3 linked regions of the Sus scrofa genome follow. The protein of the gene in region 2 binds, or shares a complex with, the protein of the main gene of each other region. Links are inferred from orthologs where the notes say so. Each region holds a gene or a part of one and is shown on either strand. Other genes may lie near its edges.

What was found. The genes of interacting proteins can lie anywhere in the genome.
Region 1: the proteins of NTRK2 (region 2) and NTF4 are in contact, whole or in part, in a crystal structure (PDB 1HCF), measured with the Homo sapiens proteins. The link is inferred for Sus scrofa from reciprocal best matches to the Homo sapiens genes NTRK2 and NTF4. Residues at the interface, in NP_001018074.1 of Homo sapiens: Phe291, Glu293, Thr296, Ser297, Asp298, His299, Cys302, Pro304, Thr306, His335, Val336, His343, Gly344, Cys345, Asn350, Thr352, His353, Met379, Gly380, Trp381, Pro382, Gly383; in NP_001382418.1 of Homo sapiens: Gly81, Val82, Ser83, Glu84, Thr85, Ala86, Ser89, Arg90, Arg91, Gly92, Glu93, Leu94, Ala95, Asp98, Ala99, Ser101, Gly102, Trp103, Thr105, Tyr135, Phe137.
Region 3: the proteins of NTRK2 (region 2) and FRS2 are in contact, whole or in part, in an NMR structure (PDB 2MFQ), measured with the Homo sapiens proteins. The link is inferred for Sus scrofa from reciprocal best matches to the Homo sapiens genes NTRK2 and FRS2. Residues at the interface, in NP_001018074.1 of Homo sapiens: Pro498, Asp499, Val501, Ile503, Gly504, Met505, Thr506, Lys507, Ile508, Pro509, Val510, Ile511, Glu512, Asn513, Pro514, Gln515, Tyr516, Gly518, Ile519; in NP_001036020.1 of Homo sapiens: Val26, Asp27, Asp28, Asp29, Gly30, Tyr59, Leu60, Cys61, Leu62, Arg63, Arg64, Tyr65, Gly66, Tyr67, Asp68, Ser69, Asn70, Leu71, Phe72, Ser73, Gly77, Arg78, Ile86, Ala88, Lys90, Phe98, Gln102, Met105, Gln106, Ser109.

What each region holds. Positions count from the first base shown.
Region 1 is NC_010448.4:54,271,293-54,275,289, reverse strand, and holds the start of NTF4 (neurotrophin-4 precursor), read left to right. Parts: upstream 1-1,197; 5' UTR 1,198-1,320; intron 1,321-1,404; exon of another isoform or gene 1,405-1,951; intron 1,952-2,354; 5' UTR 2,355-2,480; intron 2,481-3,104; 5' UTR 3,105-3,116; coding exon 3,117-3,749; 3' UTR 3,750-3,997. UniProt on the Homo sapiens protein: Target-derived survival factor for peripheral sensory sympathetic neurons. May promote ameloblast differentiation and subsequent reduction in proliferation of ameloblasts.
Region 2 is NC_010452.4:30,356,838-30,360,337, forward strand, and holds part of NTRK2 (BDNF/NT-3 growth factors receptor), read right to left. Parts: intron 1,753-3,500; coding exon 1,447-1,752; intron 1-1,446. UniProt on the Homo sapiens protein: Receptor tyrosine kinase involved in the development and the maturation of the central and the peripheral nervous systems through regulation of neuron survival, proliferation, migration, differentiation, and synapse formation and plasticity.
Region 3 is NC_010447.5:33,724,094-33,728,233, reverse strand, and holds the start of FRS2 (fibroblast growth factor receptor substrate 2), read right to left. Parts: upstream 2,801-4,140; 5' UTR 2,631-2,800; intron 2,397-2,630; exon of another isoform or gene 1,940-2,396; intron 1-1,939. UniProt on the Homo sapiens protein: Adapter protein that links activated FGR and NGF receptors to downstream signaling pathways.

The sequences.
Region 1 (3,997 bases), on a different chromosome or scaffold from region 2:
CTCTGGTAGGGGGTAGGGCATGTGGGGTGCTCAGGGATGGGGGGGCATGGAGAATTCAGGAAAGTGACCTGAGTGGACACTCAAAGACTGGGAGGCGCCCGTCCCCCACGGCCAATAAACAACTGCTGCCGCCTTCTATGTAGCCTTGGCGGGCACTGGGGAGAGGTGAGGGGAACACCCTAATCCGGGGACACCCTTCCTGCCACCTTGCCATGCTATATTTAGGCTGAAGGAGGGGTAGGGATGAGCCTTTCCCCCCCACCCCACCCCACCCCGCCGCCAAGGCAGTGTCAGCTTTCCTCCTGAAAATAGCTGCAGGGGGAGAGGTGAAGGGCCAGCTCCCGTCTGATCTGCTTCTGTCTTAAGGTCTCTCTTTCTCTGGGTCTCTGTCCCGCTTGTGGGATTCCCCCTTTTCTGGGGCTGCGTGTCTGGATCCGTGTCTCGCTCTGTCTCTCTCCCTCTCGGGTCTCTGTCTCCCTCTTCGTCTGGGAATCTGTCCCCCTTTTCCCTTATCTCTCTGCCTTCCCCCGCATCTCCCTTCAGCTGTCACTTTGCACGTTCTTCCTCGAAGCAGGTCATTCTGTTGCCATGTCACCTCTTTGTCTACCTCGGGGCCCTAGAATACCTTGAGTTTCTCTTATCTGAACTCAGGACGAGCCCCCTCTCCCCAGTCCCCACCCAGGAAATTCCAGCAGAGAGGGCTGCTGTGGGAGAGCCCCCCACATCCCCGGCTCCTCCTGGGGCGCATCCGGCCTTATCGCTGCCCGAGCCCAGCTGGTTAATGTCTGGCTCGGAGCTCTTGGGAGAGTCGGGGATGAGCGCTGAGGGTGGGAATCTGCCCGGGATTGACACTTCACTGGCAAAAGAACGCAAAGGAATCTCAGGCCCAGACTCCTGGGTGTGAGAGAGGAGGGGGCTGGGGGGCTGCGCTCCCTGGGGCGGAGGGGGGAGGGGGCTGGGGGTCCAGCCAGACTCCTGGGGCCGAGGGAGGAGGGGGCTGGGGACCCGGACTCCTGGGTCGGAGGGAGGAGGGGGGCTGGCGCCTGGCCTCCTGGGACTGAGGCGGACCGAGGGCTGAGCGAGCCAGGCCCGGCTTCCGAGGTCCCGGCACGCGTGTGGGAGGCGGGATCCCCCGGCCCCTCCTCCGCCGTCGGGCGCCGCCCCGCCCCCGCCCCCGACCCGGGCCCTCCGGAGCGTGTGCAGCGAGGAGCCGGCGGGCGAGCGGGCGTCCCTGCAGCCAGCGAGCAGGAGCAGGAGGAGGAGGAGGAGGAGCCGCCGCCGCGCCGGGGGCAGCCGGGGGAACCGAGGAGGGCGCCCCAGGTAAGAGGCTCCGCGCACCTCCTCCCCCAGGATGCGGGTGTCCGGGTCGCCCGGCCCCCGGGTGGGGAGGGGCGGGGGCGGGGCCGCGGGGGCGGGGCTTGGCGGAGGAAACTGAGGCAGGAGGGAGGTGTCCCCGCTGGACAGCCGGTCACCCGCGGCGCCGTCTCAGGCGTCCGGGCTCCCAAGTTTAACTTTCTGCGGGAGGACGGGCCTGGGAGTCCGCGTTTCTGCCTACCTGGGAAGGACGGGCTTGAATCCAGAACTCCGGGATCTGAAGGAGGAGGGCACTGGGGGGCCGGACCCCTGGGTCTGGGGAAGAAGGATTTAGGGGCCTGGACTCCTGCATCTGAGGAAGGGAGCTGGGGGCCTGGGCTCCTGAAGGAAGAGGCGGCCGGGGCCCCTGGGGCTCTTGGGTCGGAGGGAGGAGGGGGCGAGAGCCTGGACGCCTAAGGGTGGAGGCAGCTGGGGCCCTGGACTCCCGATCTTAGCCGGGAATCGGGTCTGCCGATCTAAGAACGGAGGCAGCCGGGAACCCGGACTCCCGGTTCTGCTTGGGTCAGTGAGTGGCCCTCTTCACACTTCCGCCTTCCCCGGTTCCCCATCTCCCAGCCGGGGCAGGCAGCCACTCCAGGTATGTGCAGCAGAAGTCTTGGACGGGCCCTGGCCTGTCCTGCGAGGAGAGAACATTCCAGCAAGCAGCCTCCGGGGACCCAGGGCTTCTTAAGTGTGGGCCCTCAGGGACCCGGGTGTCCAGGCCGGCTCCGCCCCCGCCCCGTCTGAGAGATGAATGGGCCGAGGAGGCTGTAATCTTTTCCAGCCTCCATCCTCAGCGTCTACCCTCAGTGCTCCTCCCCCCATCTGCTTTCTATCCAGGAGCCATCACCTGAGCAGGGCAGGGGCCTCTGGGAGGGGGGTGCAGCCTTGAGTCTGGGTACCCTCTGCTTTAAGAGGAACACCCACAAGGGGACCTTTCAGGGGTTCAGGCCCCCTCCCCCACTTGCCTCTGTAACCTGCCTGTTCCCTTCTTCCCCTAGGTGGTTGCCCCCTCCGTGTCTCCTGAGATGTCAGGAAGGAGGGGGCCACCTGTGTCCCCCACAGGGGCCCCCCGGAGCCCGGGGGCCCCCAGCCCTGGAGCTCGGAGGCGGAGGAGGTGCTGACAGGTCTGGTAACCACCCGATGCCGCTTTTCAGTCCTCTCCGGGCCACCCTGTCCCAGAACCCACAGGCTTGCAGAATGTTCTAGAGAAACAGCAAACATCCAAGCCCCGCCCCCTGCCAGCATCTCCAGGCCTTGGGTCGTTTTCACGGACAGGGAAACCAAAGCCCCACCTGAGAGGAAGTGTCTTGCCTTCTTAGTGGCCGTTTTAAGCTGAACGTGGGTCTCCCTGGGATTCCGGGACTTGATCTTTCTCAGAATTTTGGAACCTCGAACCTCCTCCAGGCTGCCGGGCTTAGGGTTCCTGGAAGCTAGAGAGAGGCAGGATGGCAGAGTAGAGTGGCCTGGACAGGCTGTGAGTCCCATCTCTGGCATTCGCTGGCTGCGTGACCTGAGGCAAGCCACGAACCTCTCTGAGCCTGTATGTTAGCGCTTATTGGCCATTCTTAATAATGGAAGAAGAATTAGCATGAATCTGGAAGTGGGGCGTTATCGAAGTCCTAGAATATCGGGCTCCAATACAAGGGCCTCCCCGTGATGGTGGCACGCAGGTCCCCTTGGAGTTCCCTTCGGTCCCTCCACTAAGCTATCCTCCTCTCTAACTGCAGGTTTCCTCTCTGTATCCTCAGGTGCTCAGCGAGATGCTCCCCTACCCCTCAGGCTCCCTCCCCATCCTCCTACTTTTCCTCCTCCCCAGTGTCCCCATGGAGCCCTACTCCCCGCCCTCACCACTGCCCCCATTTCCAGCCGCAGAATGGGACCTCTTGTCGCCCCGAGTAGCCCTGTCCAGGGGTACCCCTGCGGGGCCTCCCCTGCTCTTCCTGCTGGAGGCTGGGGCCTTTGGGGAGCCAGCCGGCAGCCCAGCCAACCGCAGTCGGCGGGGGGTGAGCGAGACAGCACCAGCAAGTCGCCGGGGAGAGCTGGCCGTGTGTGATGCAGTCAGCGGCTGGGTGACAGACCGCCGGACTGCCGTGGACCTGCGTGGGCGTGAGGTGGAGGTGCTGGGTGAGGTGCCTGCGGCTGGTGGCAGTCCCCTTCGCCAGTACTTCTTTGAAACCCGCTGCAAGGCTGACAGCGCTGGGGAGGACGGCCCCGGTGGGGGTGGAGGGGGCTGCCGGGGCGTGGACCGGAGGCACTGGGTGTCTGAATGTAAGGCCAAGCAGTCCTACGTGCGGGCATTGACTGCTGATGCCCAGGGCCGTGTGGGCTGGCGATGGATTCGAATCGACACCGCCTGCGTCTGCACCCTCCTCAGCCGGACTGGCCGGGCCTGAGGCCTATGCCCAGGCACTGGGCAGGCAGAAGAAGAAGAGAGCTGGATGCTGAGAGACCTCAGGGGTGGCCTGGCTGCTCTGGGCCTCCGTTTGGGAAATTGGCAAATGGTCACAAAAATCACAGCTCTCCGATTTTGAGAGCTTACTCTGGGCAAGATAGATTGTGAAACCCACTGGGGTTTTGAAGGATGAATAGGAGTTCTCCTGGATGAACTTGAGGATGAGGATGAGGATGATAGCCAATATTT
Region 2 (3,500 bases):
ACTGGGATAACAGGAAGACGTACTGTGTAATGAGCATCACTGCCTTCTTGTTGACTGTTCGGTGCAGGTGGATTTGCAGTCGTCACCTTTGTCATGAGGCTGCCCAGCGAGCCACACTAGTACAGGCTGTCCAAGCAGCCCCCTGCCCCACAGGCCTCCAAGTTTCTAATTTCCCTCTCCCTCTGCCAAGCCAGCTTGAGTGGCTTTGATTAACTCGGGGCCATTATGGTGAGGAATTCTATTCGAGCATAGGTCCTGATATTCAAATGCAGGGCTCGGCCTCCACAATGGTAGCAGGTGTTTGGGCGAGCAAGGAAGGACACGTCACTGAATAAGAGTGCCCAATGCAGGTAAATCCACAATGACTGTCCCTGCTGTTACTGGGGCTCACACTGAAATTCTCTTGCTGGCCACAGAATGGACACCTGATGCCAGCCATCCATTTCCCAACCCAAACCACTGGTCGGATGGGAACTATTACCACTCCTAGAAAAACAAGGCAGGGTCCCATCAAAGGATGCAACTCAATCATCCCAGGTAAGCAAAACATTGCCATGACCTGGTGTCTCATCCCTGGATGAGAGAGCAGGATTCTGAATCCCAAATGAGTAACAAGGAGTTAGAAAGTATATCTTGTATAGTTCATGAGCCAACCCAACCTAGTTCACCTGCTCACAGATCTGCATGGGTTTTGCCACTGTGACACTTGAGAGAAAAATCATGTGTGTTTATCAGAACAATGCTTGAAATTATTCCTCTGAGAGTTCTCATTCTGGCTCAGTGGTTAACAAACCCAACTAGTATCCGTGAGGACACAGGTTCAATCCCTGGCCTTGCTCAGTGGGTTAAGGATCCAGCATTGCTGTTAGCTATGGTGTAGGTTGCAGACGTGTCTCGGATCCCACATTGCTGTGGCTGTGACACAGGCCAACAGCTGTAGCTCCAATTCGACCCCTAGCCTGGGAACCTCCACATGACTCGGGTGTGGCCCTAAAAAGACCAAAAAAAAAAAAAAAAAAAAAGAGAGAAAGACAGAAATTATTCCTCCCCATCCCACCACCCCAGGAGAAATATGAGTCCCTGTTCCTGGACTTGGCTTTGGCCCTATGACTTGATATGGCCAATGGCATCTAAGCTAAAGAAACTGTGTGCCAATCCTGAATGCAGGTCTTAAGAAGCCCTGTGCAATTTTTGTTGCCCTTGTGTGTTCTGCACTCATCCTAAGAAGCACATCTCCTGTGTGGCCATTGCTTCTTCACCTTGCACCCCAAACCAAAGACACATGGAACAAAACTCCCCAAGCTGACCTACAGACCCATGGGCAAGACTAAATAACTGTGCTGTAAGCCCCTGGGTCTGGGGAGCGGTTTGTCAGATGCATGATTTTGTCAATGGTTGCGTGATGGAGCTTATCTTCTCTCCAGATGGAAAAACATGGGTACTCACCGTCATCGATTCCAGGCCAGCCCATGAAGTGAGCAGAAATCTGTTTCTCATCCTTCCCATACTCATTCTTGGCCACTAACTTGTAGTCCCCATTGTTCATGTGAGTAGGATTATCCAGCTGGAGGCAGCCGTGGTACTCCGTGTGATTGGTAACATGGATTTTAGTACAGATGTATTTGGACTCATTCAAAATTGCCCCGTTATAGAACCACTGAAGCGCTGGTTTGGGGTTGCCTTTCACAGTGAATGGAATGCACCAGTGGTGGTCTGAGGTTGGAGATTCGAGAAATGTGATAGTTGGAGCAACTAAATTGAAAAAGAGAGAGTTAATAGCATCAGAAAGCTCAGAATTCTCCCCATCTCCAGATTTCTGTGTCATCGATAGGGGATTTTATTCAACCACTGTTTGGGTTAAGAAAACACGTGACCGGCAACTCTGGAATCCATCATTCTTTTGTATCATCATCAAGGTTGATTTAACTCCCTACAGAGAGCTTCAGAGAGATTCCTTTCCCTACTGTGCTTAAGACCCAGGCATCAGAGTCATTTTTACATCTAGTCAGTGTGAGAACCAGCTCCAAACAGATCCCAGAGATTTCCAACAGTGCAAAGGGTTCATCTGAAGTGGGCTCTGGTTTCTAATATATATGCCTTGATACTTTGGAGATTAACCATCAAAACACTGAGGGCCACTATTTTCACAGTACTTCACTAAACAATACAAAGAATGACTTTGGAAATCTTGCCTGAAGCCCTGATCTCACATTCCTCATCTAAAACAAATAAAACTGGTCCATGCAATGTTGCTACCGATGTTAATCGATTATTATAGTAAGATCTGATAAACTCACACATTTTTCACAGATTGTCAACAGTAAATTCTCTGTAAATGCATCATTTTTTTTATAGTACAGTCCAGGTTTGCTACAATTCCAGATGCCAATGTTTTGATCATTTAAATGTCTGAGGTCTTAGCTAAACCTGAACAAACTAGAGATTATTTTAACATTAAATACAGAGCACTTCATGCTTAGAGGGAACAAACATTATCAAGTAGCATCTTTAAACAGAGTACTTATCCTAAGTGAAGACATTTGAAATCCCTCCTAAGGGTTTATTTTGATGTGGTCTGACTTGGAGAATTATAAAATCAAGGACTAGAAAAGATCTTGGAGACCTCATAGCATTATTTTTTTTTTTCAGATGAAGAAATCCAAGTGCAATGAGGTTAAATGACTTGGTCAAGGTTACGGAGGGAGGAAAATCTAGAACAAGAATCCAGATCTCCTAGTGCCTAATTCAGTAGTCCTTCCCCTCAGGCATGGCTCCTGCTTGTTCGTGGACATCACACAAGGGGAGGGGTGGTGGGAGAGGGGATCACAGCCTGCTAACAAATACATTCGGAGTGGGGTCACTGCAACCTCTCAGTTGTTCCTACTCTTTCTCACTTATTCTTTCTACTTGGAATCTAAACGTTGAGAGAGACCAATTCTCCAGACCCTGGTGACTACATAGATATTAACCTCAACTAAGAAAATTTTGAGTTGGGGTGCCCTTATTTGTAGGTCTGTGTTACAAACACAGGAGCCATGGTGGGGCAGGAACAAGACCCCCGCCTTCCTCCCACCAGCCCAGGTCCTCACACCCAGATCCCTACGTTTTCCTGCCATCATGCTCAAATGATCTTTTTAGGTGGTGTTAATTTAAGGACATAACCTTGGAAGCTGGTTGCATGTCTGTGGGGATAACATTGACATCAAGCTTCCCAGTGGGTCAAAATGAGGAGAAATTATGAGTCCAGGACCCATTGGGCATCGGGGTAGTACTGAGAGTGACCCAAGGTGGATGATTTCAATCACTCCGACAATTACATCCCAAATGTGTGTTAGGAATGACTGGTAACCACTGTGTCAATATCTTGTCATGTGTGTGATGAATACCCATATTTACACACATGCACACTCATGTTTTTCCCATCCAAATCCTAATCCAAATAGAGTAAAACCTCATTAATTTATACCATGGCAGAATGTGCAACGATGTGAAGACGATGT
Region 3 (4,140 bases), on a different chromosome or scaffold from region 2:
TTCCTAAATTTGTGTCTTAGAAAAAGTCTTACCCTCTGAAATGTTGAACTCAGGTTACCAGTTTATTGGGAGGTAGCATGTTGTAGCACAAAAACATAGGCTTTGACACCAGGCAGATCTGGATTCAAATTGGGTCTCAATTACCTGCTAGCTACATAGTACAGATTAAGTTACTTATTTAAGTATCAGTCATTATTAAGCAATATGCTTAGGTGTTGTTGTGATGCTTAGAAAATGTATGTAAAAAAAAAAAAGAAGAAAATGTACGTAAAGTAACTAGCATAGAGCCTGGTGCTCACTAAATGTTCAATAAATAATTGCTTCAGAGCTATCTTTATAAGCATTATAAAGGCATTATAAAGGAATACTATACCTCCACCACTTTTCATTTTACTCTGGCTAAAAATGAACCCACTGTCCTTTAGTACAACTCCAAATTTTAGGTCAAACCACTCATGTAGCAAGTATTTACATTTATTTCTATATGTTGTAAATTTTTATGCAAATATCTGACATCACCTTCTTGATTTCAAACTATGGAAGAGCAACAACTTAATCTTAGTATGCTATATTGCCTAGCAGTGATTTTCATGAAGCACACAGCACTCACTTCCAATTGTAAAATTTAAAAATGTAATATGCCTAAATATTTAACATGCTCATTATGATTTCTGACACACTTTGGAAAACTATTGCCACGAAGCTTGGTTGTTGTGGCTATATCTTTACTTACTCTTACACGGCTGTCTAACATAGCTTGATGCCTAGCATAGCAATATCTGTTGAACTGACTTGAATAATATAATTTACAATGTAAATGTTCAATATCTACTGAATTGATGTGAACATAATTAAATTTACAACACCTGAAAGTATCTGATTTTCCCTACCTCTTTCTGTTCTTAAAAATCTTGAACTATTTCTCCTTGAAATACATTAACTATCATACCTTCATTCAGGACGGATCCATAACCGTATCTAACTTAACTCCTTTTCCAGATTCTCTCAATTCCAATATTTCAACCCTATGCTCTAAAAGAACTAGAGAATTTCAAGTAGCTAAGAATCTATGGTTTCTATCTAAATCTAAAAGTTGGACAACTAACTTTTTTGTCTACAATTTTTTCCAGGAACTTTAAAAATCATCCACCCTTTGCCTGTTAAATATCAACAAGCCTAAAATAAATTTTCTTTTGCATAAGAGAGCTCACTGAACTTGTCACTTCAGTCTATTTTCCCTAATTCATGATATTGCCTCCCCTTTCACTGGTGGGAGGAAAGAGAAGCAGATAAGAACCCCCAAAAACTACAGTATAAGCCCTAATATAAGCACCAGACAAGAAGTACATGAAAGTGTCACAGGTTTCACAAACGTGCTGTGTAGATACTTTATAAAAACAATGGTCATCCGCTGATAGTCAAAATCTGCAGTAACTGCTTTCTCTTACGATCATAATTTCAAAATCACGATTAAATTGAGTAAATCCTATTTCCTACCAACCTTTCAGGAGTAGCTTATTACCTAAAATCTGTTCACCAAAAAAAAAACTACCTACATCACTTGCTCCTCTAGGAAATGCTCAATTACTCCAAAGTAAACACCTCATAATATAAATTAAAAAAACATAAAACAAAACACCTCTACCCACTTGTGTGAACCTCTGCATTGCAGCAACAGCTGTAACAGTATAAGGAACCTCCTAGGAGTTATAGAGAACAATTTTTCTTTAAAAGTTAAGGAAAATGACAGTCCCAAATATGAAGGTATATAAACGTCGGGAAAGAGGAGGTATAATTCTCCAACCCTCTGCAGTCAATTTGTGCAACAACCACAGACTGAACTCATCATACAACTGTGACTTCAGATAGCCACAGAAATTAGGAGTACAGATTAGAGAATAGCATCATTTCTTACTGCCGAGAAAAAGAGGGAATTTACCTGAACTGCTTTTCTTCAAGCAAGCTGTTTTTTTTAAGAAGTCACTTCAACAACGGCTTGAGTAAGCTTTCAAGCGAGTAAAGATCATGGGAGGCGCGCTGCTCCCACAGTGACCTACGTATCCAAAACCGGTCCCAATCGATCCTGGGCAACCCCTAAGCGGGTCTGGTTGGAAAGCCTTGCAAAAGATCCCCGACATCTACACACGCATCGCCCAACCCTGGGTCGGAGGAGACAACACCCCTGGAACCCGAGCTAACTACCGAGCCCGAGGACAGATCCAGAGACAGCAAAAGTCGAGAACTACAGCCCAAGACTGAGTCTGAGGTCTAGATTCCCAGGCTCGGGTCGGAGAGAGAAAACCAAATCCGAGAGGCAGCGCGAGTACTTGGGGGAGCTTAAGTGAGGGGTCGGATGGACGGAGGCCCAGCCCATCCTTACTCTAGAGTCCCAACAGCAACAACAGCTCCAGGAACCCCCACCCCGGCTCCGCCCCGCCCACCCCACGGCCCAGCCACCCGCTTCTTCCCGCCCCGCAGGCTCGGCAAAGACCGCGGCGGTCGACAACCCCCTTCCTCGAACCCCGACAGCCCAGCCTGCAGCCCGGAGTCCCAAGCGGGCAGCGGGGGCCCGAGAGCGCCAGCCCCGACGCGGCCCGCGGCCGTCGCAGTCAGCTCCGCCGGCCACTCACCGTCCGCCTGGGCGCTGGGAGCGGGCAGGGCACGGGTCGGCAGGCGCGGACCCCCGGGCTCCCACCTAGGCAGGAGCCCCTCTTCCGAGCCGATCGAGCCTCAGCGGCAGTACCTACAAGGCCTCTCTCCGGCTCGAACTATGGAAAAGCACTTCCGGGGGAGCGGGGAGGGAAGGGTTTTGGCACCGGAACTGCTCACAGGCTGGAGCTGCCGGCGCCTCCCGGGCGGGGCGGGGTGGGGCGGGGCAGAGCCCCTCCCGCCGGCGCCGGCAAATCCGACGCTAACCCTTTCTGCGCCGCGGCCCCTCGATTCTCCAGACTCCCGCTGCCTCCTTCGACGTGTTCCACTCCAGGCACCTGCTTTTGCAGAAGAGGAAACCGAGGCTCGGAGAACTTAGATGCAACGGTCCAGCGCCTACAACCCGCCTCCTGGATCTCTCCAGTATTCTTACCACTCTAATCTGCCTCCTTTAAAAATAATAAGTTAACATATATTGACCGCATACTGCGTGATAGTCGCTGTATAAAGCGCTTTACTCAGTTTAATCATTCCCAAGCCCCTTGAGGTCGGTGCTGTTAGCTACATCTTGCAGAGGAGGAGACCAGTACCAATACAAAAACGGTGGCTCTTTATTTTAACTTGTGTGTATAAATCTCACCTACCCCAACACAAGTTTTAAATTCTTGGGGAGTTCCCGTCGTGGCGCAGTGGTTAACGAATCCGACGAGGAACCATGAGGTTGCGGGTTCGGTCCCCGCCCTTGCTCAATGGGTTAACGATCCAGCGTTGCCGTGAGCTGTGGTGATCCAGCGTTGCCGTGAGCTGTGGTGTAGGTTGCAGACGCGGCTCGGATCCCGCGTTGCTGTGGCTCTGGCGTAGGCCGGTGGCTACAGCTCCGATTCAACCCCTGGCCTGGGAACCTCCATATGCCGCGGGAGCGGCCCAAGAAATAGCAACAACAGCAACAACAACAAAAAGCCAAAAAAAAAAAAAAAAAAAAAAAGAATTATAAATTCTTTAAGGGCAGGAACTAAATTATATTCCTATATTCCATCATCACTTGGAATTTCAATAGAGGTCAAGAGCTTGGGGACTCTGGACTCTTACTGCATGGATCTTGTCGTTTATTTTTATTTTTCCACCCTGGGCGAGTTGCTTGACCTCTCTCAGCTTGTTTCTTTATTTGTAATACAGTTGATGTATTTGATGTGTGTGTATGCATATATATATATATAATCATCTCTGGATTTTTGTAGGAATTCAAAATGAAAATGCTTGATAAGCTGTGGTGTACTAGTATCCACGTAGGACTGGGTAAAAATCAACAATTTTCTTCCCTCATCACTAATAAGAACAATTTTTCCTCTAGTAGAGTCACTTTAGCAGAGGGTAATTTTGAAAACTATGGGTTAGCAACAGGCGATAGAAAAGGTTAGTTAAGGAAATAAAGAGTAGAGGTTTTGGCAAAGGGAAAAATGAAGGTAGGTGAGCCAAAGAATGTCCTTGGGG